Linked DNA regions of Rhinolophus ferrumequinum. The protein of the gene in region 2 binds, or shares a complex with, the protein of the main gene of each other region. Links are inferred from orthologs where the notes say so. Each region holds a gene or a part of one and is shown on either strand. Other genes may lie near its edges.

Region 1 (7,604 bases), on a different chromosome or scaffold from region 2:
TGGCCATGCATAAAGGGAAGGGGGACCCTGGTGACCCCAGTTGTCAGGGAGCGGGGATAGGGTGTGAAGTGCTAACTGGGGGAGCAAGCCTTGACCTCCACTGTCCTCGTACCCTGTGCCTGACATGCGGGCCTTCGGGCCCCTTGGAGTCCTTCATGCCCTTTCCAGTGTAGTCGTGTTGTTTGGGGCAGAACGTTTGACGTTTTTCCTTGGTGTGTTTTCTGAGCACCTGCCAGGGGCTTGGTTAGCTGTGGCAGGGCTAAGAGAACAAAGCTGTCCAGGGTTCTGTCCTTGCCCTCTGGCAGGTCGTGTCTAGCCCTGTTCTGGGAAGAACCTCCACCACTTTGGGAGTTTCAGGCACAGGAGAGGCAGGGCTACCTTGCTGGCTGTGCTGGGGGTCCCAGCAGCTGAGACCGGCAGCCTCGGTTGCCTACAGGTGCCCCCACTCCAGCTGCAGCCCCAGCTCTCAGCCTTGCCCAGCTGCCTCTGAGGAGGCTGCGCAGAAGTGTGGGGGAAGAGCAGTGAGTCTGCAGCCAGTACGGACGTCAGAGCCAGCTCCCGGCCAAGGAAAGGGGTGGAAGGATATGTTTGCCCAGCGCTAATTGAGGGCACAGGGATGGTGGTGGCTACGGGCTAGTGGGGGACTCTCATTACTCAGGTGAGCTCTGCAGGCGAGCTGGAGATCATACGGTCACTCCCAGGTGGCCCTATAAGTGTGTATTTGCTAGAAGCCATCACGCCACTAGAACTGACGGGGGGCTCTGTAAATAATGATTTCTGTCTTGGTTTCTGGATGAGGGAGTCTGACAAGGGCTGCTTAGAGCTGGGTATCTGTGCAAGTGAGGGGAGGGGAAGCAAGTGCAAAGGCCTGGGGTAGAAAAGGCTGGAATACCTATTGCCAGCTCAATCTGAGGTGTGAAGGGGTGTCTGGGTTTACCTGATTGTGCTAAGAGGTGGCCAGGACTCTTCCCTGTGGGGACTCGTTCGTGCCAGCTCCACCAGTCAGCTTCCTTCCTGGGACCATTTGAACACTCACATTTCAGAAAAAGAGTTATGCTTGCTGTTCTCCATAGACCCGAAGACCTAGGTGAAGGACCCTGGCCAGGGTCTGGCTTTGGGCTGGGGGAGAAAACCCAGGGTTCCTTACCATCCTACATATGACCTCTCCATAGTGTAGTGTCCTGGAAAGAAGACTGTCTAGGAAATGAAGCCACGTGGGTTGTGCCTTGGCTCTGTCGCTTACTGGTTATGTGAGGTCCCAGACCTTCATTTCCATACCTCTGAAATAAGGGGTGTGGGTGCAGTTATCTGGAAGGCCTTTCCAGTTCTGACAGTCCGTGCTTCTCAGCCCCTGGTACCTTAAGTTGTCCTTCCTCCAACTGCAGTTTCTGACTCCTCCATTGCTCCATACAGAGTCCTTGGGCCCTGGCCTGCTCCAGGCTGCTCATCCCAGTTTCTAACAGGACACACATGGGGTGTCACCATCCTTGGGAGAGGAGAGCTTTGAAGCAGCAGCAAGGGACTGGCCGTTTGCCCCAGAATTCAGCCCTCGGGCCCAGAGTGCTAGAGACTCATTCAGTCAGCAGGCTTACCTCCCTCCTTGGAGTGGCAGCCCCTCCCGGGAGGTGTTCTGACAACACCTGTGTACCCTGCACAGGGTCCCTGATGGGCCTGGGTGACGTCATTTCACAGCAGCTAGTGGAGAGGCGAGGTCTGCGGGAACACCAGGCTGGCCGGACCTTGACCATGGTCTGTCTGGGATGTGGCTTTGTGGTAAGTTCTGCCCACAGCAGAGCTGCTGCTGGATTGGACAGTGGTCTGTTTCCCTTGGCCTTTCTTACATCTACGCCAACCTGGAGTGTACCTTGCCCTGAAATTTGGTTTTTAATACTCAAGGGAGAGGCTTTGTGATGTAAAAGCCGACTGTCCCCCTCACTGCATCCCTGCTCCCCTCCCTGGGGTTTGCTTTCAGGGCCCTGTGGTAGGAGGCTGGTACAGGGTTTTAGACCGTCTCGTCCCTGGCACCGCCAAGGTGGATGCACTAAAGAAGATGTTGTTGGATCAGGTGAGCGGGAGGAAACGGGGGCTGGGAAGGCTGAGCTGGAGGAGGGCGGGCTTAGGTGCTTACAGCTCTTTAATCTCTTTTCCTTAGGGGGGCTTTGCCCCATGTTTTCTAGGCTGTTTCCTCCCACTGGTAGGGACACTCAATGGACTGTCAGCCCAGGACAACTGGGCCAAACTCCGGCGGGTGAGCTGGGCAGGTGTGGGGAAGACCTCTGGCTGGCAGACTGGCACGCCCAGGGGAATGAGGCAGGCTTCAGGGGGGTGACACAGGCCGAAGTACAGGTAGGGTCCTGGGCTCTGGAAGAAAGGAGCTGAGGGGGTGCAGTGCAGGAGTGTGCTCTCTGAACAAATCTGTGGGTGCTATTCAGACTGGGGCATGGGAGCTGCTTGGAAGTGCAAGTGCTGATTGGGTCCTTCTGTGTTTCCTCAGGATTATCCTGATGCCCTCGTCACCAACTACTATGTAAGAGCTGACACCTCCGCTGCCTGTCCTCCTGCCTCCTTGAGTCCAGAAGTGCCCAGGGATTGGGGGTCCTCCTGACCTAGAAATCCCTCAGTTGGGATGACCCCCTCATTCCCAGTGTGGGCACCACACTCAGGGAAGCTCTCCCCCACTTGTTCCGCTTGGTTCTGTTTACAGAAGTTGGAGGAGGACCAGGCAAGGCAGTGAGTCTGGGGTCAGGTGATGGAGGCAGCCCCCCAACATTTACCTTCTCTCTCGTAGCTCTGGCCTGCTGTGCAGCTAGCCAACTTCTACCTGGTCCCCCTTCATTACAGGTATGACAGATCCCTACCCCACCCTTCAAGGAAGAGCCACATTATGAACAGTTGTAGATAAAGTGATTCTCATTCAATCTTGAGCTACCTTAGACCCCCGGGAACTCCTAGACTCCTGAGCGTTTTATTCAGATCCTCTCGTTCATTATAGAACCTGTCGCAGAGTGCCCACTGACCTCGGGAGGGTCCTGCTCCACAACCCTTGGCTCTGTCCCACCTGAGCTCCCTACCTGTGCTGCAGACAGCGTGGAGGGGGCTGCAGCCTAGTTAGAAAGGTCACTCAAAGAGCCATGTAGGAACCTGGGTAGGTTCATCCACTGCAAAATATTATTTTACGCTAATCATAAAGGGTAATATTGCTGAAACTGCAATAAAAACAGTAGAACTCAGGATGACTAGTTAAAATTAGGATGGTGATGGGGCTTTGAGAACAGAAAAATAAACAGAAAAATATAAAACTCTTCGGAGGGGACATGGTTAAAATTTACATGAATAGCGTAGCTAAAAGGAATATAGCTAAAAGGAATATAGACTTAACCAAATTTTAAACTTTAGAATCCTTGTAACGGTCTTAGAAGCTAAAGCAAGGTCAATTTAACACCAAGAGAAGGAGGTGTTACTTTCTATGGCAGACAGTACGTTTCTGGAAGATGAGAGCTTCTCCGCTGGTACACGGATGACAGATACGTGTATTCAGAAGGAGCCCGGACAGGACTATGAGTAACAGCCCTGCAGGGCAAGATGGCTGCTGAGGGTATTTCACCTGAGGCTCCGGGACAGCAGCAGCACCTGAGCTGTGTCCTCTGGTCCGAACCACGCGTCCCTCCTGAAGGAGGTGTAAATCTGGATGTTTTCAGAGATAATGCCTCCTTTTGCATTACACTTTCCCCTCTCTCCCCACTTGCTTTCTCCTCATCCTTCCTCTTTTTCACGCTGCCATTCCTGTTCTTCAGGTTGGCTGTTGTCCAGTGTGTTGCTGTTGTCTGGAACTCCTACCTGTCCTGGAAGGCACACCAGCTGTAAGCCTGCCTCACTCCATTGCTTCCGCCTTGCAGTGACGCAGCTTGACCCTGGAATGGTCGGCCGACCTCCTCCTCAAAGTGGGCACATTGCTTTCACGGGGTTGGGTTGCTGGTCAGAATGTAGCGGGATTAGCACTATGAAACGGCCCATGTCACTCTAAAATGTAAACTGACTCCTTTTGAATTTACTAAAACTTGTATAATGGTCTTATGCCCACCGCATAGTAGGCACCCCATAAATATTTATTCAGCCATATGATCTTGTCAACATTACTTTATACCCATATCCCAGCCAGTGCACTCATCCCCGCTTTTCATAAATACATCTATTTCCCTAACCCTCTCCAGCCCTAGTGTAGCTCCAGTTCCTTGGGGACCCCCTCAAACCCTTTATGTGTTACCTTTGTAAATATGTTATAAATGTGTAATCTGGAACCTGCAGTAAGACCCAACAGAAAAATACTAGGGAGTCAAAATTTCTAGGGAATGGAAAGAAGCCTAGAGACCACCAAGCCCAAACTTCTTTTACAGACGAGGACACTGAGGTCCCTAGAAGTAAGGTGACCTGTCCACACCATGAGTTAGTGGCAAAGTAGAAACTTGAACCCACATGCTATAAATCAAATGTTTAAATACCCCCCCCCAAATTCATATGGCGAAGAACCTGAGGTGATGGCATTGGGAGCTGGGGCCTTTGGTGGTTAGGGGGTGAGAGCACAGCCCCCGTGGGATGCTTGCCCTGATAAAAGCAGCCGTGCGAGGACACAGCAAGAAGCTGCCATCAATGAACCAGCAAGTAGATCCTCACCAGACACCACATCTACTGGGGCCATGATCTTGGACTTCCCAGCTTCCAGAGAAATAAATGTGAGAAATAAATATTTGTTGGGTATAAGCCACCCAGTCTATGGTATTTTTGTTACAGCCGCTCAGATGGACTAAGGCACCATGTTTCCTTACTTCCTACCAAGTGATCTTAACCTGGCGGTAAAGATACAGTAATACTATTGTGATTCCCAGGAGAAAAAGGAACTTGGCTAAACTACCACTTTGGAGCAAACAGAAGCAGATGGACCAGCCTTTTGTGGTCTGAAGGCACTTGAGGCCAGAAACCCTCGTTTTTATGGTGCCTCAATCAGACAGCCCTAGAATTTAGATCCCGGGACTGGAATAAGATCAGGGATTCTGGTTGACTTAGCCTGCCTCAGCTGCTGCTTGGGTGGGTACCATGGTGAGGATGGCCTGCCAGCGGAGCACTCCTGGTTGTCTCAGTTTACAGAGCTGGTGACGGGCAAGGGACCGAGTGTGAGCAGCACTGCATCCTCCCAGTGCCTCTGGCCCCTCTGGAGGCCGAGGGCAGGGTCAGCCCCACGATCCAACCACCCTTCCGTGTGCCAGAGAAGACTAGCCATCTGGACTCTTCTGGTCTGGGGACCGGCCCTGCTCACTGCTGACTGTTCTAAGCCGGCGAAGGACACTCGTTGCTTCCAGAGCAATGTTCATGCCCCAGCCAGCTTCTCGCTCACTTGAGTCCGCTGTCGCTTCTAGCGCAAGCCCCAGAGACACGCCCCTCGGGGTCCCGCCACCCGCTGGACTCGAAGCCGCCACCGTCATTGCTCTACAATCAGTGCATGCTCCTCGCTGACGTCAGTCGGAGCTGTCCTGGAGCTATATAAGGCTGGCGGCGGTCCCGGGACAGACCCCGTGTTTCCCAAGGCGTCCTCAGCCCGCCCCGAGGGACAGACTGGACCTCCCTCCTGCCCTGTGCAGACGCTCTCTGGCAACCTGTGAGTGGCTCGGAGAGTCCGCCCTGCCTCGCTCAACAACAGGACTCCGCTCGCCTGCCGGGACCCGCTAATAGGGAGGGAGGGAGGGAAGGCGGAAAGGGTGGCACAACACTGGGCAACGGCAGGGACTGCAGGGAAGGTTGTGGGCACAGCGCGGCTGCTACGGGGGACCGGCGGGGACGCTGGATGTGCGCGGGAAGGGGAGTGGCGCCACCTGCGACTGTTCCAAGCGCACCTCACCCTGCGCTGCTCCTGTGTGTCCAGGGCTGGTGGCACCATGAGGCTGGCGGGACGTGCGGCGTTGCTGGCGGCGCTGCTGCTCCTGGCACATCTGCGCCCGGGGAGCAGCCAGTGGAGCCCGGAGCAGGAGGCGGCGGCCGGGGTCCAGGACCCGAGTCTGCGCTGGAGTCCCGGAGCGCGGAACCAAGGCAGGGAGGCCCGCGCGCTCCTCTTGCTGCTGGCGGAGCGTTTCCCGCGCCGCGCGGGGCCAGGCCGATGGGGATCTGTGACCACAGGAGAGCGGCCGCGACGGGACGACCCTCCGCTGTCCATTGACCTCACCTTCCATATCCTGCGGACCCTGCTGGAGGAGGCACGGACGCAGAGAGAGCGCGAGCGCGCAGAGCAGAACCGCGTCATACTCGACTCGGTGGGCAAGTGATCGGCGGGGTCTGGGGCGCGGAAAACCTCGACCCTCACCCCCAACCCGGAGCTGGGACCTGCGCAACTGGAACTGACCCAGTCCCGCGGGGCTAGAGCTGCCCAGGGATACCCTGAGCACGCTCTGCGTTACTAGTGTTTAATAAAAGTTCCGGAGAGCCTTTGGTCTCTGTTGTGGGGGCGCCGGGAACTTTCCACAGCAGGGTGGGAACCCCTAGGAATGTGGGGCCTCCTAGGTCGGTGGGAGGGAACCAGTGCTGCAGGAGGAGCACCCTGGAGAGTGGCGTTCAGCCAGGGTCCTGTGTCCCTATCATCCCCAAGTCCCCCGGAACTCAAGTCCTGATCCTGCCGCACCACCCCTTACTCTTTGCCTTTGGCACTGGCTCAGGAATCCAAGCCTAATATCAAGGAGGTTCCCAACAGGGGTTCCATTCACTTCCGCCTCCCAGCTGGTCCCAGATCCGGAGAAGGGCGGACTGGTGACAGGGTCGCCTCAGAAGCTGAGACACACAGTGAGCAGTGAAAGGAGCTGCGGGTCGGGATGCATGAGCCCTTTATTGAGCCCTCCCCAGCGGCGGGGCGCCGAGCTGAGGGGCGCGGTGGTCTCTGCGCAGATCCTCCACTACCCGAGCGCCAGGCCCCCAGAGCGCGAAGTCCCCCACAGGGGGAGGGTCAGTGCAGGCCTGTCCCCAGGAAAAAAAGCGCGGTGGGCGGGTGCTCCAAGGAAACAAGGCAACTCCGAAACCCAGCGCACCCCCTTTCCCCAGCCACGTGGGTGTCTCCTCTACTTCCCCACCCACCCTGCTTGCCCAAAGCCCCGAAGGAATGGCTGACGCGAAAGAAAGTGTCCTTTTGCACCCGCGCTAGGGGGCGCTCCGCTTCTGCTGGGGGTTGGGAAGCATTTGAAAGCAGGGTCTGCAAGCGAGCCCTGGTCCCGCAGGGAGGGCGATCACCCGAGGACCAGTCAGGCCGCGATGGCCCTCGCAATACACTCACCTTCCGGCCCATCCAGCCGCTCTTCCTCTGTCCCTGCGTTGCCTTCCTCCCCGTCCATCGCCATGTCCTCATCCTCTTCCTCCCCGGAAGCTCCTGGGCCCAAGGAAGACCCCCTTGAGGTAGAGTCTCCTGCTGGTTGGGCGCCATGCCTTACCCTGCCCCCACCCGGAGGGTCCTCTCCCTTCCTGGCTCCCTCACCTGGCTGGAAGTCTATGGTCCTCAGCATTTCCGCCACGTGCTCCACGCTCACGGTGAATTGCTCCATGCTTTCATAGCCTGGCTCTGGCCGTCCTGCCAG
Region 2 (8,273 bases):
AAGTTTTTTAAAAATAGGTAATGTATGTCAGTGCTGAGAACAGCACTGAGCACATGGTAAGCCCTATGTACCTGCTAAATGCAATAAACAAAATAAGCTTATTGAATAATCGATCCTTCCCCCTGGTAGATTCGAAGTGACATCTTAAAAAATTCTCATTTTGAATAAAGTAACTTCAGACCCACTGGCTGAGGATTCCTAAGAATGTTGAAAATTAGATAAAGTGGAAAATGACAGTTAAGAGGACTACAGAATAGTTCCCTAATTCATAAAGTGCTGCAAATTTGAGATTTACCAGGAATACAGAATTAAGTAAGCAGTGCCCTCAGACAAATTGCTTTAAAAATAAAATACTTAAACATCAACAAAATGGCAAAAGCAGAGAGGAAAACTTAGCTGATCAGGTTACAAAACACTCAGAAAGTAGTTGAATTTTGGGGAAGTCATTAGATGAATGAGCTCCTGTCAAATGGCCCTTGAGACCTGCCACCTCCTACCCTGGCGCTGCAGACCCGGGGAGTGTGTGTACAGGGCCCTGGTCTTGGCCTTGGGGAGGGCTGTGCAGGTTAGTAAGGGTCCAGGTTCCTGGAGCCTGGGCCCTTGGGGGACTTCTCAGGACAGATGACTCCCACAGAAATCAGGACACTTGTGGCAAGAAGCCACAGAAATGCTGTCCTGAGACCCTGGGGAGGGGAAGCGTCGTGCTCCCCAAAGGTCTGAGGGGCTATACCCAGCCAGATGGGCTGGCTGGTAGATTCCGGGGTCTTCACAGAGCCGGACGGAAGTAGCTCAAAAGGTTAGAATCCAGGCTTTGGAATCCAGCATCCATATTCCTTAGCCTCACCCGATCTCCTTTTCTAGCTGTGTAAATGACTGTCTAACTTTCCTGGTACTTTAGTAAAGCGCAGAGCTCAGTGCGTGTGTAGCAGGTAGGCTGCACAATTACAGCACTGCCTCTCAAAGGGCTCAGAGGGCGCCCTGGAAGGCCGGTCTCCAGGCTGGACCAGGCTCCTCCCCACTCACCCACCAGCTGGGACGTTCCCAACTGCAAATCAGACCAGCTAGCTGAGCTCTGGGGCCAGAAGACCACGGGTAGGTTCCCCTCTCGCTGGTTACATCCTGAGTGACTTTGGGTGAGTAATTAGTCTCTAGTATCAGGCTGAGGTGTTCCAGGGGGCCAGGGGTAGGGCCTGGGTGACTCTAAGGGGACCACAGACTGTTGCCTGAGAGGTTTTGGTTCTGACACCCCCAGAACCCAGGGGACCCTCGCAAAGATCCCTCCACCTGGCCTGGCTCTGGAGCAGCAACCAGAACCCTCTCCATGTAACCAGCTTGGGCAGCTGGCATCATGCCCTCCCCCAGATGGGCGGGCTGTGAGGCAACTGAGGCCCTAACACTGGCTGTCTTAGAAGTCACCTATCTCAAGAACCAGCAGGAGGGGGCAAAAAGAACTCAAAGCCCAGGATTTGGGGAGTTGTAGAGAGTGGGGGTGGTAGTGAACCCACCGCACACCTCCACCCACCGCACACCTCCACCCACCCCAGATACAGCCTGCGATGTCATTTAAAGGACCTCGCAGGTCTAGAGGCCGTCTGCCCATTGGGGCACTGAGCACATCTCAGCATGGTGCCCATCCGTCTCCACCTGACCAGACCCCCTGGGCGGGCAGGGCCCCTGGTGTCTTCATGCTCCACCTCTAGTGGCTGGCACAAAACCATGGCTGCATTACTGAGTGCTCACTCTGTGCCAGGCATGGCGCTCAGAGCTCTACTTGTGTCATCTCATCTATTCCACACTGATCTCATCCTCATTTTACCCAGGAGGAAACTGGGGCTCGAAAATTTGAGTCACCTGTCCAAGGTCACACACGAAGCGGCAAAGCAGAGATTCGAATCAGGTCTGTCAGCAAAGCCACTTTGTCACAGCCAGTGGATGCTCACTGCTTATCTGTTGAGTGTTGAGTGAAAGTCCGCCATGGTCCTCTGTACATAGGGACGTCGAGGCCCAGGAAGTGGTCCCTGCGGCTGGTCTGTGGTGCAGTCCTGGACAGGACTAGGCCTCCTGACTTCCAGCCTGACTCTGGCCCCCGCGGTGTGTGGCCTCTGAGGCCCTCTCTGCACTCTGAACCATTTTAATGTCAGGGCTTTTCATGAAAAGTGTGGCCTTGCACAGGTTGCCTGTCTTCTCTGAGCCTCAATTTCCTTATCTGAAAAATGGGGACGGGGTTAAAGGGTGATTCCTCCTGCATCTGAGAATCTGTTTCTGGGAATCACGCCCGCCTGGCCTAACCCCACTTCTTCAGCTCTTTCTTTATAGCCCCTCTCCATCCTCTTATCCCCAGGTCCCACCTGCAGACCTTGACGCTGGCCAAAACCCACCGACAGCTTTGAGAGACCCTTGGTGAGGTTGGTCCTCCCAGCGCTTCCACTGTCCCATTGCTCATTTGGTTCTGGGGACTGTCTGGTTTCAGGCACTAAGAGGAGGGTGGGGACAGGGCCACAGGAGATGGGGGCTTTTAGGGGAAAGGCCAGAACTGGGGTGAGGAGAAAAAGGGATTTGAGGCTCCTGCAAGGAGAGATGGAAGGGATCCATGGGGGAGGGGACAGAATGGACGGGGGATAACGAATTTCTGGAAGTGAGGAGGGTCATGTCGCGACGCTAGTTCAGCCAGAAGCCCCCATCGTCCATGCGGCCTCTCAGTCCCGTTCTAGCTGCTATTAGAGTTTCATCTCTCCCTCACCTGCCCCCTCGTCCAGGCAGAAGAGCTCCCTCCCATGATCTCACACAGGGGTCCCCAACCCCAACCTGCCAGCAAAGGCCCAGAGACTTCCCCCACCCCACTCATAAGAGGGCTGAGGGAAACTGGGTCCAGGAAAGGAACACCGAGACCCCCTCCCGTCCCCCAGTCACGACAGCGCGGAGCTCCAGCTCCCGGCGCCGGGACTCGGAGACCCGACCGCACTGCCCACACTTACTCTGAGGAGTCGAGGGAGGAGGCAGAGCAGACAGAGGAGCGGGAGTGGAGAGCGGAGGACGCGCGGGGCCCCAGCGGGAGCCCCCATGCCCGCGCGGCTGGGGACAGAAGCGCGCCTCTCAGCGCCGACGTCCCTCCCTGCCTGCCCCTCCCCCGGGCCAGAGCGTGTAGCGCCCCCCCTCCATCCCCCGCCCCGGCCCAGCACCGAGGCCAAGGCCAGGCCCTGGGCATGGGGGTATTCTCCCTTGGCCCCCACCCCCAGGGCAGGCAGCCGTGACACCGCCGCCCAGTCGGCCTCCTCCGGGTTATTTATAGCGGGTGCTGGGCAGCCGCTTCTTCCCTGGCAGCCAGGGACCAAGGTCTGCCTCCAGCTTGCAGAGAAGGGGTTAATGCCTTTTATCTGCCACCACCTTAGCCTCAGCTATAGCCACCTGCGGTGGGGGGAGGGGAGAGAAAAAGAGATAGGGAGGAGGGGGCCTCAGCTGAGGTTGTGGCCTCAGTGCCCAGTGGGCTGGGGGCGTCTCACCCTGATCAGGCTTCCCAGAACCGCCCGCATCTTCTAATTGTCAGGGGAGCTTTCACCAGGCTCCGATGCCAGTTTGGACCTTTGGAAGTTGAATGTAGATGCAGATTAAATAATAGCACTACTGTATCAGTGTTCAACTTCCTGATTTGATAACTTGCGCTGTGGGTAGGTAAGAGCTGTTCTTAGGAACCATGTTTAGGACCACAGGGGCACCGTGTTTCCAACAATTTTAAATGGTTCAGAAATACGGCAATATCTATTTCTATCTGTCTGTCTGTCTATCTATCTATCTATCTATCTATCTATCTAGAGAACCATAAAGCAGATGGGTCAACATGTAAATAATCAGTAAAGGAGGGCAACGGGTTTATGGGTATATGGGTATACGACGGGTCATTCTTCCAACTTTCCTATAAATTTGAAATGAAATGCTAAAAAATGTTTTAAACCCCTAAACACTGAGGACAGCACATTCAGCAAGTGCAGATTCGGATTATGGAGGCTGGCACTGGCCCAGGCATTGGAGGGTTTCAGTCAGTTGCCCAGGGATCCTAATGTCGGGCAGGGCTGAGCAGCGTTGGTCCCGGGTGGGGACAGGTCTGGCCTGGGGCCGGGTCAGGGCTCAGGACGGGAGGCCTGCGCTGAGGGAGCCCCTGAAGTAGCCTCTGGACCTGTTCCCACAGGTGGGCCTGGTGCAGGGAGTTTCAGAGCTTAAGCAGCAGCTCCAGTTGTCAGGATCTGAGGGAAAAGCATTTGAAGAATGTGATTAGCGGGGCACCGCGATTTTCCTGCAGCGTGCAGACAGGGTGCACACAGGCCCTAGAGAACGCAGCCTGGGTTCCAGAAACTCAGACACTATGTTCATGCTGATCTCCCTGCCCGGGAACCTTCTCTCCTCCCCTTCTCTCCTCCCCTTCACCCCTTCCTCCAGGCAGCCTTCCTTGAGTGCTCCCACATCACCCTCCCCTGAAATCTCACTGGCCTGAGTCTGAGGCCCTGGCTGTTCCCTAACTGTCACTTGGATAAGGCTGGTCTCCAGTCAGCTTGGGCAGAACCCAGTCTCCCCCCGTCCTTTTTTTATTTCTTTTCCCCTTCCTCCTCTGTTGCATAGAGCCTAGCCCCAGTGGGGTCATTATGGGAAAAGCTGTGGAAGAGGTGACTGGATCTCCTCATTCATTAGAAAGTGACGGAGTGGAACCCCTTCCCAGGAGCCGGCACAGGATATGGTTTTACTGGACCTGGTCAGGTGGTCTTGGTCAGAGAGGACTCCTGGCAGGAGACAACCCCTTGGCAGGGCTTTGACGGGCGGGTAGATTCAGGAGGAGAGTTGATGGGTCATTATGAGGTCCCACAGTTCTCTTCAGCATGTCTTCCAGGAGTATCCCCCTGGCCAGCCTCTCAATGTTAAGCAGAGAGCAGAGGCTCTGACCTCAAGGTCAACCTCAGCCTATGGAGGCTGTGCGAGCCACCGGAAGAGAGGTGAAGCCCATGAGATCTGGGCATGAGTAACTGCAACGGGCAGTGAGAGATAGTACAAGGTGGGGGGGCAGCTCAGGGCAGGGCGGCAGGGGATTTGGGGAGGGGAGGACAGTACTGCAGGATTTAAACAGAGGGAGAAGGGGAGAACTTCACTCCAGATGGAGGAGTCAGGGTGGGCAGGAGCAGGGCAAGTGCAGGCTGGCTCGACTGGGGGCCCGGTTGGGGAGGGGCCAGTGTAGGGCTAGGCGGTCGGGGACAGGCTGGAAGGGAGCTTGGTTTGCTCTGGCTCTAAAGGGCCTGTGGCGCAGGCACATAGGTAATTGGCCTGATTCCTTCCTGGCAGGGCTCTTCTTGTGCTTCCAAATTCATTCCCTCGCCTCTGCCCCCACAGCCTGGAACACTCTTAGGAGGAGCATCCTTGGACAGCTAGAGCCACAATTTGCCTGGAGGTGGGGATGCCCAGGTACCCCAACCCCAGCTCCCAACGGCATGCTTAGCCGTTGACTGGAGGTGGAAGAAGTCCAGGTGTCATTAACACTCATGGGGTCCAGGAGGCTGGGACTTTGCCTGCGTCTCACTGCCGGGGACTTCTTGCTTTGCCCCCTCTCTCACCAGCATCTCCTGGGAATACTTCCTTTACAAGTCACAGCAGGTGACTCCTCATCTCCTCCCTGGGGAACCTGACCTCAGGTTCAGGGCAGGGAAGTCTGGACTTGACCCCTCTAAACGTAATAGTGAAAAACAAACAATAACAATAATAAAAAGCACACAAGACCCTTGAATTCCCGTGGTATCCTCTGGTAGCCTTTGTTGCCTTTCACAGGCTGCTGGTGGTAGAAGAAACCCTGCCAACAACTGTGAGCTGGCAGGCTAATACCAACTGTCATTTAGAAGTTTAAGCCTATTTATTTTTGAAAACGCCTTCATAGCCATTGTGATTATGAAAGATCAACCTGAGATGGCCTTAGAAGGGAAATGCGCGGTTTGCTTTGCAAAGAGGTGGAAACGCCTAGATTTTGCTTGGCATCCAAGATGGAGAAGGGGTGGGAGGGCTTGGGTCTGGGCTGGGGGGTGTCCCTGGTACTCAGAAAAGGACTGCAGGGCAGGCCAGGTGCAAGGAGGGGTGGCTGGAAGGGCTTCCTTGAAGTGTGAGTGGTCAGGGCATGTTCGCCAGGGGCTGGTGATAACCTTGGCCATCCCCATCTTCACAAGAGACTAGTCCCCTGTGTACAGCAGCTGCTGTCATGCTGCTCGGGAATGAGGACGAGGTGCTGTGCCACCTGTGGATAAAGGGTTGGAGAGGGGTTGGCAGCTGTAGGAGTGAGGAGGGAGTGCTGGACATTTCTTGGTTTTGTCCAGAATGATCCTGTCCTTCTGAGAAACGCTCCATCCTTTACTCCACTGTTTCTTAGTTTGTTTGTTTTTTGTCATTTGCACCTCCTCCTTCCCCAAGGAGCCTTTTTAGATCTTTTCCTAATTGCTCCCCCCTTATGAAATTGTCATACCTCAGATGTATAGCGTATCTATGGGAGGCCACAAACTATTGTAATATCCAAGACTCTTCCGCCCCCCAAGACCTGCTTTATGCCTCCTTGGGGGCACTGTCGTCCCCTTGAGAGGGCCTGCTCTACTCCCAACGTGATTTTGATTGGCAGTGGGCCACTGTGGATTGGCCCAATGCAATCGGCCAGGCTGGATAAATGAGAGGGCCTCCCACCACTGACCACAGTTGGTCGGTACAGAAAGGGCCAGCTGATCTGAATGGATGCGATCAGCATCCTCCCCTGGGATTTTTAAATTTTGCATCAAAGAAAGAGACTATTCCTTCCTTTTGGAGAAACTGAGAGATGCTACGTGCAGCAGCTGCGTGGCTGTTCGGAAATCTGAGCTGAGGGAATGAGCTGCCACACTCCAGAGGCAAGAAAGGGAGAGAGGGAGAGCGAAGGTCCTGGTGGCCTTCCAGGCACTGGGGAAGCCAGCTTTGCCTCTGCCCCCAGGGAGGGAGCTCTCCAACAAATCTTCCCTGATCCCCGAGACAGTCTGGGTTTCTGTTGCTTACTACCCTAGGAATTCTGACCTAGAAGGGATCAGGAATTGCACAGGAGTAGAATTCCGAGTAAAAGGCAACCAGGAAAGTGGAAGATACTCCATCCCCATGTTTCGGAATCGGAACTGTTGGGGAGAGCCCAGACTTTCTGTACATCTAGTGGGCTGGGCAGTCGGGTCAGTGTAGGTTGCTTGGGAGGACTGGGTTTCTTAGGGACACTTGGGTTGCGTGTCTCTCTGAGCAAGGGAGGGACCAGGCTGGGTCTGCACTCTGCAAGGCTTGCTCCAGCAGCAGGGCAGTTTGGGGTTGGAGATGACAAGTTCAGCAGTAAGGAGAGAGCAACGTGGGCCAGTCCAGCAGCGCAGGTGAGAGAGAAGACGGTATCTCAGTCCAGAGTGGGGTCTGTCCTGCTGTGCGGGGCCCCCACACTGATCCGATCTCTCATCTGGGGCTGGGACTGTTCAGATGAGGTTGCCTGGGGTCCCTGCCCCTCCCCCCTGAGCTTATGGCCCGGTGACATCTTGTCCCCCAGATGTATGAGGCTATCTCCTTATTTTAGCTGTGGTCACACCAATTTAGTCTCAGATGGCAGAGTATGCTTTTGCGATGCCATTTCAGAACACAATTTCATAGCATTGTTGGAAGAACAGCTATTGATTTTCCTCATTTTTTCTTTCTTTCTGTGGGTTCGGTGGGATGTTACTTTGGTCTCTCTCTCTCTCTCTCTCTCTCTCTCTCTCTCTCTCTCTCTCTCTCTCTCTCTTTCTCCTCCAAAATCCTGCATCAGGGATGCCAATTCCAAGTATGAGTTATGATCAGCTCTGTTGTCACTCGTCTCTAAAGAAAAACAAGTCACTGTGTTTGACTAATAGGGACTAAGTCCGCTCTGGCAGAGTTTGTACCTGCTCTTGAAGGAGCCTTGAACTTCGCACCTGGAGAATAGCTGGAGGGCTTGTATTTTCCGGTGGAGTTCACGCGCCAAGGGCTGAGTGGCATTCGGACCTGACTCTGGTTGTCATGTCTGGTTTCACAGCTGTCCCCTGTCTCCTGTGCAGGCTGCTCCCAGGATCAGGCGCCACAGGCTGGGCCCGCAGACACCCGGCCTCTGCTCCTCCCCTGGGACGGTGTGCCCTCGGGGCCTCCACCTCCGCTCCAGTATTTGCCGTGGCTCCTAGGATGCCTATCCCACGCCCTCCATCTTTTCTCCAATTCCCTTAACTGTAAAATGAAATAACACCTACGGTGGA
Region 3 (7,711 bases), on a different chromosome or scaffold from region 2:
TTCCAGGATGGCTCCCTGACAGGCGGCTGGTGGGAGGCCTCTCTACTCCTCATGGCTGTCCAGGAGGATAGTCTTGACTTCTGTAAAGATCGCTATTACAGTGAGCAAAGGGAGCCCAAGGCAGAAGCCAAAGACATTTCATAACCTAATCTCTGAAGTCACATCTGTCATATCCTATTTGTTCGAAGTGTAACACTAAATTCAACCCACATCCTAGACAGGACAAAGTACACAGCCCATGAATACCAGGGCAGCAGGGCTCACTGGGGACAATCCTAGAAGTTATTTACCACTGTCCCCTAGTATTTCAATAATTAAGCAAGCATTACAAATTCAAAATGGATTAAAGACTTAAATGTAACACCTGAAACCATAAAACTCCTAGAAAAAATATAGGGAGTAAATTTGCAAACATTACCGAGTAATATTTTTTCTTATATATCCCCTCGGGCAAGGGAAGTAAAAGAAAAATTAAACATATGGGATTACATTAAACTTAAAAGTTTTTTCACAGCAAAGGAGACCATCAATAAAATAAAAAGGCAGCCCACTGAATGGGAGAAGATATTTGTCAATGATACATCTGATAAGGAGTTAATATCCAAAATTTATAAAACACTCATTCAACTCAACACCAAAAAAACAAACACAATTAAAAAATGGGCAGAGGACATGAAGAGACATTTCTCTAAAGAGGACATACAGATGGCCAACAGACATATGCAAAAATGCTCAACGTCACTAATCATTAGAGAAATGCAAACAAAAACCACAATGAGGGGCGTCTGGTTAGCTCAGTTGGTTGGAGTGCAGTGCTCTGAACAACAAGTTTGCCAGTTCGACCCCCACATGGGCCACTGTGAGCTGCATCCTCCACAACTAGGTTGAAACAACTACTTGATGTGGAGCTGATGGATGCTGGAAAAATACACTTAAAATAAATAAAAGTTAAAAAAAAAAACACAGCAGAAAAATCATAATGAGATACCACCTCACTCCAGTCAAAATGGCTATCATCAATAAATCAACAAACAAGTGCTGGAGAGGCTGTGGAGAAAAGGGAATCCTGATGCACTCTTGATGGAATTGCAGATTGGTGCAGCCACTTTGGAAATCAGGTATCTCAAAAAACTGGAAATGGAACTACCTTATGACCCAGCAATTCCACTCTTAGGTATCTTTCCAGAGAAATCTAAGACACTAATTTGAAAAAATCTATGCACCCCTATGTTTATTGCAGCACTATACACGATAGCCAAGACTTGGAAACAATCGAAATGCCCATCGGTAGATGACTGGATTAAGAAACTGTGGTACATTTATACAATGGAGTATTACGCAGCCATAAGGAAGAATGAAATTGTACCATTTGCAACAATATAGATGGACCTAGAGAACATTATGCTAAGTGAAATAAGTCAGACGGAGAAAGACAAATACCATATAATCTCACTTATTTGTGGAGTCTAAAGAACTGAATAAATGAGCAAAGTAAATACAAATAGTCTCAGATATACAGGAAAAAATGATGGTTGCTAGATGGGAAGGGGGTGGGGATGAGGAAGGGATTAGACAGTGTAAATTGGTAACTACAATATTGCCACACGGATATGAAAGACAGTTTGGGGAATATAATCAATAGTGTTGTAAAGGCTTTGTAGGGTGTCAGATGGACACTTGTCTCATTGGGGAGACCACTTCATGGACAGTGTAGGTGCCTGACCACTGCAGTGTACACCTGAAGCTGAAGCTGAATAATACTGAATGTCAAATATAATTTAATATATATATAGTCACAGGATGTGGAGTACAGCATAAGGAATAGAGTCAGTGGAACTGTAACAGCTCTATACAATGTCAGAGAGGTAGTAGATTGGGGGAGGAGGGTTATCACTTTGTGAGGGGTATACATGTCTAACTATTACATTGTTTTGTACACCTGCAACTAATAATAATTAAAAAATCACTTTTCATAAATTTTAACAAAAATAATAATAAACAAACATTAAGTTTCTACTGTTACTTCACAAGAACTCTCTCCTTGGATATTTACAGTAGCTCGCTGAGAAAAAACTAATATTATGCCTACTTTACAGATGGGGAAATAGGCCCAGAGAAGTTAAGTCGCTAGTCTACTGTGCACAGCAGAGTAAGCAGCAAAAACAAGATTCGACCCTGAGATTTAAGACCTTCATCAGGAAGAGGCCAACAACAACAAAGACCAGGAACAGAGAAGGGAAGAAAGGAAGAAGGTGCAATTATTATTGTTTACTCCAGAGAAAGAAAAGAAGCACCCAGGAAAGCTGGGTTCCTTCATTGATTTCACAAACATTTATCGAGCACCTACTGTATGCCAGGTGCTATTTCAGGCTCTGGGGATGCCACAGAAACCAAGATGGACAAAGTTCCCTGCACACGTGGAATTCACACACATGGGTGACCAATTCCACTATCCAGTCTAGCACCTGGCACACCAGAGTGATGCTGGAGGAGGGAGAGGCCCCAGAACCCCAGTAATGCCTGAGGGTTCTGCCTGAGGGACAACAGTTTTGTTTCCTTGCTGGTAGGTTCTTGGTTCAAGTGAAGCTTTCCTGTATTTGCGGTGTTGGACACCCCAGGAGCCTCCTGCCCAGGCCGAGGTGGGGATGGAAGCCCCAAGATGATAGTTTCAAGGAGCTAATCTTCCTGCCCTCAACTAACAAACGGAGACTTTGACCCTCCCCTCACCCTTTATCTCAAGACAGGAGAGTACAGCATGTTAAGGTGCAGCTTGGGAGGCGTGTGAAGGGCTCTGGGCAGGGCCAGGTGGGGGAAGATGTGGGTGTTCCAGCCCGCTCAGGGCTGAGAGACGTGCTGTAGTCAGGGAACTGTCCTTAATGGCGCTTTGGTTTCCTCCGCTGTAAAACGGACTTCCAGCACTAGGAACATGTCAGGCTATCATTTTTTCCCCCATTCTTCAGAATGCAACCTCCTGTGTGTCTGGGCCTCGTTCTAGGTCTCTTTCAGTAAGAAGGCAGATAGTAAATATTTTAAAGCTATCCCAACTACTCAAGTCTGTGGGTGAAAGGTGAAAGCAGCCAAGCTCCATACATACGTAAATGCACTGGCGAGGCTATACCCCAAGAATATCAACTGGGTAATAGGGTTGCTTTAAAGGGCTTAAAGCAGTGCTTGGTATACAGTAGGCACTTCATTAATGTTTGCTGCCTGGAATATAGCAGGCACTGTATTAATGCCTGGTTTACAGTAGGCACTCCATAATGTTTTTGCCCTGTCTTGGTATATATCAGGCATTACATTCAAGTTTGGTTCATGCCTAGCTAGATAGCAGGTGCTACACTCATGCCTGGCCCACACCTGGTATATAGCAGGTGCTGCATTAATGCTTGGTCCATGCCTGGTACAGTAGGAACTCCATTAAAGCTTGCTGCATACGTGGCATATAACAGGCGCTGCATTAATGCGGGGCCCACCGGGCCCAATACACAGGAGGCGTTCTATTCATGCTTGTCCCAAGAACAGATGAATGGAAGGTTCTTTCCGGTTAGGCAATGCCAGGGTGCTTCCCGGTAAACCGTGAAGGCTAGGACCCCAGTGTCCACCATTGGGCCGGGGTCTCCCAGCGCCGCGACCAGACATTGGCGCAGTCCTTGCCTCCCGTTCTTCAGCGGAGCCGGGCGGAGCGGAGCAGAGCGGGGCCGAGCCGGGCCGAGCGGGGTCGAGCAGGGCCGAGCGGTGCCGAGCGCCGCTGAGCCGGCCGGCCGAGTCCGCCACATTCCCACAATCCCGGGCGGTCCCGCCCGGCTCCCAGCTGCGCGTCCCCCTTCCCACGTCGGCGCAACCTAACCCGCGGGCGCGCCCGCCTCGTCCCGCCCCGCCCCGCCCCGCCCGAGCGACGTCCCGCCCACCCCGACCGCTAATCCCGCCCCCGCGACGGGCGGGCGGGCCACCGCCCCCTCCCATTGGCCGCGCCGCCCGCCCGTCGGCACTGTGCCCGCGCGGGTTAGGTTGTGCGGTGCTGTCTCTCGGTCGCTGAGGCTGCGGTTGGCGGCGGCGGCTGCGGTTAGCGGCGGCGGCGGCGCGGGCGGAGGGTGGTCGGGCGGGAGTACGCGGCGGAGCGGGACCGGCGCTCGTAGGCAGTCGAGCGAACCGGTCGGCCCCCGGGGCCAGCGCCGAAGGCCAGGCGGGTGCGGCCGGGGCGGCTCCGGGCGAGGGCCGGGCCGGGGGGCGGCGGCGGGGGCGGCCGGCGGGCTCCGGGGCCGGGACGATGACTCTGGAGTCCATGATGGCGTGTTGCCTCAGCGATGAGGTGAAGGAGTCCAAGCGGATTAACGCCGAGATCGAGAAGCAGCTGCGGCGGGACAAGCGCGACGCCCGGCGCGAGCTCAAGCTGCTGCTGCTCGGTGAGTGGGGCCGGGCCTGCCGGGGTCCGCGGCCGGCGGTGCGCGTGCTGGCCGGGCGGGGCCGACGCTGCGGGCTGTCCACAGGCGATGCCTGTGGCCGTGCTGTCCCCGGCGAGGGCAGGGCTTCGGAGCCAGCCGGGGCCCGTGGTGTCCATAGCTCCTGCCTTGCTGTCCACAGTGGGACTGCGGCCGTGGACTGAGCCCCAGCCTGTGCTGTGCTTGCTGGGAACCCCAGTAGGTAGGGTCTGCTCCTGCCGGTGCTGTACTGCCCACAATGGGGCCCTGATCCCTGCGGGGCCAGCTGTTGCCTGTGCTGTCCAGGTCAAGGCCCCACGTTCTCAGCGTCGGCCAGGTGCCTGTGCAGGGCCGGTGGGGCCCAACCCTGCCCATGCTGTCCACCTTCAGGCCACCTGATATCTGTGGGGTCAGCCCCCTGCTTGTGCTGTCCACATGAGGTCCAAAGTGTTTTCAGGGCCAGCCCCTGTTTCTGCTGTCCTTGTTGAGTCCCTGAAACCCTAGGGGTCAGCCCCTGCCTCTGCTGCTCACGTCGGTACCGGATCCTCACAGGCAGCCTGTGCTGTCTGTGGCAGACCCCCGATTCCTTCGGTGTGAGCCCTGCCTTTGTCGTCCAGGTCAGGCCCCCGAACCCTCCAGGGTCAGTACCCTGCTTTGGCGGTCTACATCAGGTCTCCAGATCGCTGCAGGGTCAGCCTCTGCCTCTGCAGTCCAGGTGGGGCCCCTGGAACTCTGGAGGTTCTCTCCCTTCTCATGGGCTGAGTCCCCCTCCCTGCACAGGGCTGGCCCTCTGTCCCTTACCCACAGAGTGTCCCCCTCGCTGCCCCAGCATCTGTTCAGGCCCAGACCTTGGGGTGTAATCCACAGACGCTCCCCTCACCTCGCAGGATCCCATCTCCACTACTCCCACCAGGTGGAGCCCTGTTCCCTACACACAGGGCCTGCCCCACTCCCACCCACCCACCCCCATTCCCTCAGGCTGTTCCCCTGCCTACCCTCCTTCTGCAGGAAAACTGTTTCCCTCAGAAAGGGGTACACCCCATTGAGGAGAAGATAGCCTTTCCTCTCTTCTTAGAGTCTGTTTTAGCTGAAGGCCATGGTGGGGTTTCAGAACCAGCCAACTCTACTCCCCAAATCATTTCCTTCTGCCTTCGTGGGAGCCAGTTTTCCCGGGTCCTCCTTCCACTTGGGGGAAGATTCCTGTTCGAGTCCACTTCTCAGGGCACACCTGTTGCACGCAGTGAGTTGGCCTAGCTATCAGCAAAGTGTTGTTACCCCAAATAAGGGCTGTTGAAGGACTTACCTCTGCCGTCAAAGGCGAGAAGGTCGTTTACAAAACAGAAACCTGGGCCGTGCCCTCTCCTGAGCCCTGCTTCATTTTCATTCCTATACTGTGGGGAGAGTTGGAAATGGAAGCCGCTCAGAGGTAGCTTTGATGGGCCTGGGGCTGGAGAAGGAGCAAAGGGTTTAGAGGTGCTGAGTCTGATGGCAGATGGTGGCATTGGTGGCCTTTTGGGAGATGGTGGGTTTTGGCTGGAACACATTGCTTTTCCTGCCTGCGCCCTTCCTTCTCTATTTTCTTTTTCCAAACGTGTATTCTGATTTACCTAAGGTCTATAAAATAGTCCATCTTTGCAGAAAAGACAGGCAGAAAGTAAGCATCAAGTTTGGAGGAAACTTGCAATGGGGTCTGAGTGGCACTGGACAGTTTTTGCAGTGAGCTGTAGAGCTTATTTTGGGAGGAGGGGGTAGAAATTAGGGGCATCTTAACGGTATCAGCCGGTCTTACTGGGGGGCTGCGTGAGCCTCCGAGCGCGCCCCCTCCTCTCCTGAGTATGTCCAGTCTTCAGATTGATGTGTGGGTCAAGGCCACACAGGTCAGTGGCCCAAGCTCCTGCAGCCTTGCTGTGTGTCTGCAGTCTCCCTGGGCTGGGAGGCCCCCAAGAGCCCTGCAGGGGATCTGGAAGCAGCCAGTGCCCGCCAGGGAGCATGGGGAGTCAGCTGCGGGGGCACCTGTGTCTGCAGTTCCACTTCTCCCCTGCGGTGCAACCCTAGAGAGGCATCTAGTCTGCCCCCTGCCAGCCTGCACCACGGGGTATTGGGCGCTGTGTCCGGAGGTCGCGTCCTAGGCATGGAGAGCAGATAGGACAGGATGTGAGCGCTCAGGTCCAAGGTGAAGGGTTCTGACCTGAGGAGGGCAGCCCTCAGTGCTGGGCGAAGGCCCAGGGGGTGTGCATGGTAGGGGCTGATCTTGAGGTGCTGCCTCAACAAGTGATCCCTTGGGCTTTGGGCCCGGGACTTCTTCGGGAACCCTGGGAACACTTCTCACCAGGCAGCCTGTCCTCCCAGGTTGAGGACACCGTGTTGGGAGGACTTTGATGCCTAGAGGACAGGGTGGGGTGTGAGAGGGCAGGGAGGGCGTCCTTACTGAGCACCCTCGGCCTGTTGCCTGACCTGCTGGTAGGACTCTTTCCAACCCCCTAGCAAGCCAGCCACTGGATGGGGACTGTCCCCGTTTCGTAGGGGGAAAATCAAGGGACACACAGCTTTCCCAGCTGTGGGAGTTGTAGGCCACCTGGTTCTGCTGCATGAGAATGCCACCACCCCTGCCCCCCGTGGTGTGGGCTAAGGGGCTGCTCACCCTGTGGCATTGTGTGTGAGTCCTGTTTCTGAGAGGTTCTGGTGGTGCTCGCCTTGGCACCTGGTTTTGGACTCAGGCGGAGCGAGTTACCATCGCTGGAGAAGCCCTGGCCCAGTTTGCCACGTCCATGTGCTGTCTCCCCGGGGCTGTGTGCACGTGCCCTGTGGGGCCCCCCAGCCTGGCGCGGGTGTTGATGCCCTATCCTGGTGGTTAGAGTGGCTGACCTGTGGAGCTCCTGGAGCGGGGCTCTGGCCCTCGAAGTGGGGCACCGAGTGGGCACCCTGTGCTGTCCCCAGTGCTCCCGCCATGCCCCTTTTTAAAGTTGATTTTTAACTCCTCAAAGAGGCCTCTCTTTTCCATATGGCAGGGTCTCTTCCTCGGCACTGGGGACCTTGGGGCCGGGCCAGTCTCTGTGAGGGGCCGTCCTGGCCATGGAGGCGTCTTGTTGAGCAGCCTCCCTGGTCCCACCCGTCTGATGACCACAGATGTCCGAGAATGGCCCGGTGGCCCCTACGTGCGGGACCAGCGCTGTTTGAGAACCTCTGCCCCATGGTAGTACACGGTTACACGGTGTAAAATGTGTGTTGCAGAGTGGGTGTATGATCAGTGTAAGTGATTTTGTCGGATGTTTTGTGATTGCTTAAAAAGTGCG

Evidence for each region. Proteins that work in one complex are often made in the same cells at the same time.
Region 1: the proteins of CRHR2 (region 2) and UCN are in contact, whole or in part, in a cryo-EM structure (PDB 7TS0), measured with the Homo sapiens proteins. The link is inferred for Rhinolophus ferrumequinum from reciprocal best matches to the Homo sapiens genes CRHR2 and UCN. Residues at the interface, in NP_001874.2 of Homo sapiens: Phe68, Asn69, Gly70, Val71, Tyr73, Ile101, Leu102, Asp103, Asp104, Arg107, Asp110, Tyr113, Leu117, Asn120, Trp166, Leu169, Gln170, Val172, Asp173, His174, His177, Glu178, Thr188, Phe191, Asn192, Phe199, Phe256, Gly257, Lys258, Asp265; in NP_003344.1 of Homo sapiens: Asn84, Pro85, Ser86, Leu87, Ser88, Ile89, Asp90, Leu91, Thr92, Phe93, His94, Leu95, Leu96, Arg97, Thr98, Leu99, Leu100, Leu102, Arg104, Thr105, Ser107, Gln108, Arg111, Ala112, Asn115, Phe119.
Region 3: the proteins of CRHR2 (region 2) and GNA11 are in contact, whole or in part, in a cryo-EM structure (PDB 7TRY), measured with the Homo sapiens proteins. The link is inferred for Rhinolophus ferrumequinum from reciprocal best matches to the Homo sapiens genes CRHR2 and GNA11. Residues at the interface, in NP_001874.2 of Homo sapiens: Arg148, Tyr208, Leu209, Ala212, Ile213, Thr216, Glu220, Lys293, Lys307, Ala311, Phe358, Tyr359, Phe362, Asn363; in NP_002058.2 of Homo sapiens: Arg37, Ile348, Leu349, Asn352, Leu353, Glu355, Tyr356, Asn357, Leu358.

What each region holds. Positions count from the first base shown.
Region 1 is NC_046296.1:53,378,954-53,386,557, forward strand, and holds UCN (urocortin), read left to right. Parts: upstream 1-4,532; 5' UTR 4,533-5,650; intron 5,651-5,914; 5' UTR 5,915-5,927; coding exon 5,928-6,311; 3' UTR 6,312-6,617; downstream 6,618-7,604. Other genes in the region: protein Mpv17, read left to right, coding at 1,658-1,773, 1,973-2,065, 2,153-2,248, 2,495-2,527, 2,789-2,841, 3,795-3,864; TRIM54 (tripartite motif-containing protein 54), read right to left, coding at 6,983-6,993, 7,307-7,399, 7,505-7,604. UniProt on the Homo sapiens protein: Acts in vitro to stimulate the secretion of adrenocorticotropic hormone (ACTH). Binds with high affinity to CRF receptor types 1, 2-alpha, and 2-beta. Plays a role in the establishment of normal hearing thresholds.
Region 2 is NC_046303.1:11,768,647-11,776,919, reverse strand, and holds the start of CRHR2 (corticotropin-releasing factor receptor 2), read right to left. Parts: upstream 3,098-8,273; 5' UTR 3,063-3,097; coding exon 2,976-3,062; intron 1-2,975. UniProt on the Homo sapiens protein: G-protein coupled receptor for CRH (corticotropin-releasing factor), UCN (urocortin), UCN2 and UCN3. Has high affinity for UCN.
Region 3 is NC_046301.1:60,157,988-60,165,698, reverse strand, and holds the start of GNA11 (guanine nucleotide-binding protein subunit alpha-11), read left to right. Parts: upstream 1-4,224; 5' UTR 4,225-4,267; coding exon 4,268-4,403; intron 4,404-7,711. UniProt on the Homo sapiens protein: Guanine nucleotide-binding proteins (G proteins) function as transducers downstream of G protein-coupled receptors (GPCRs) in numerous signaling cascades.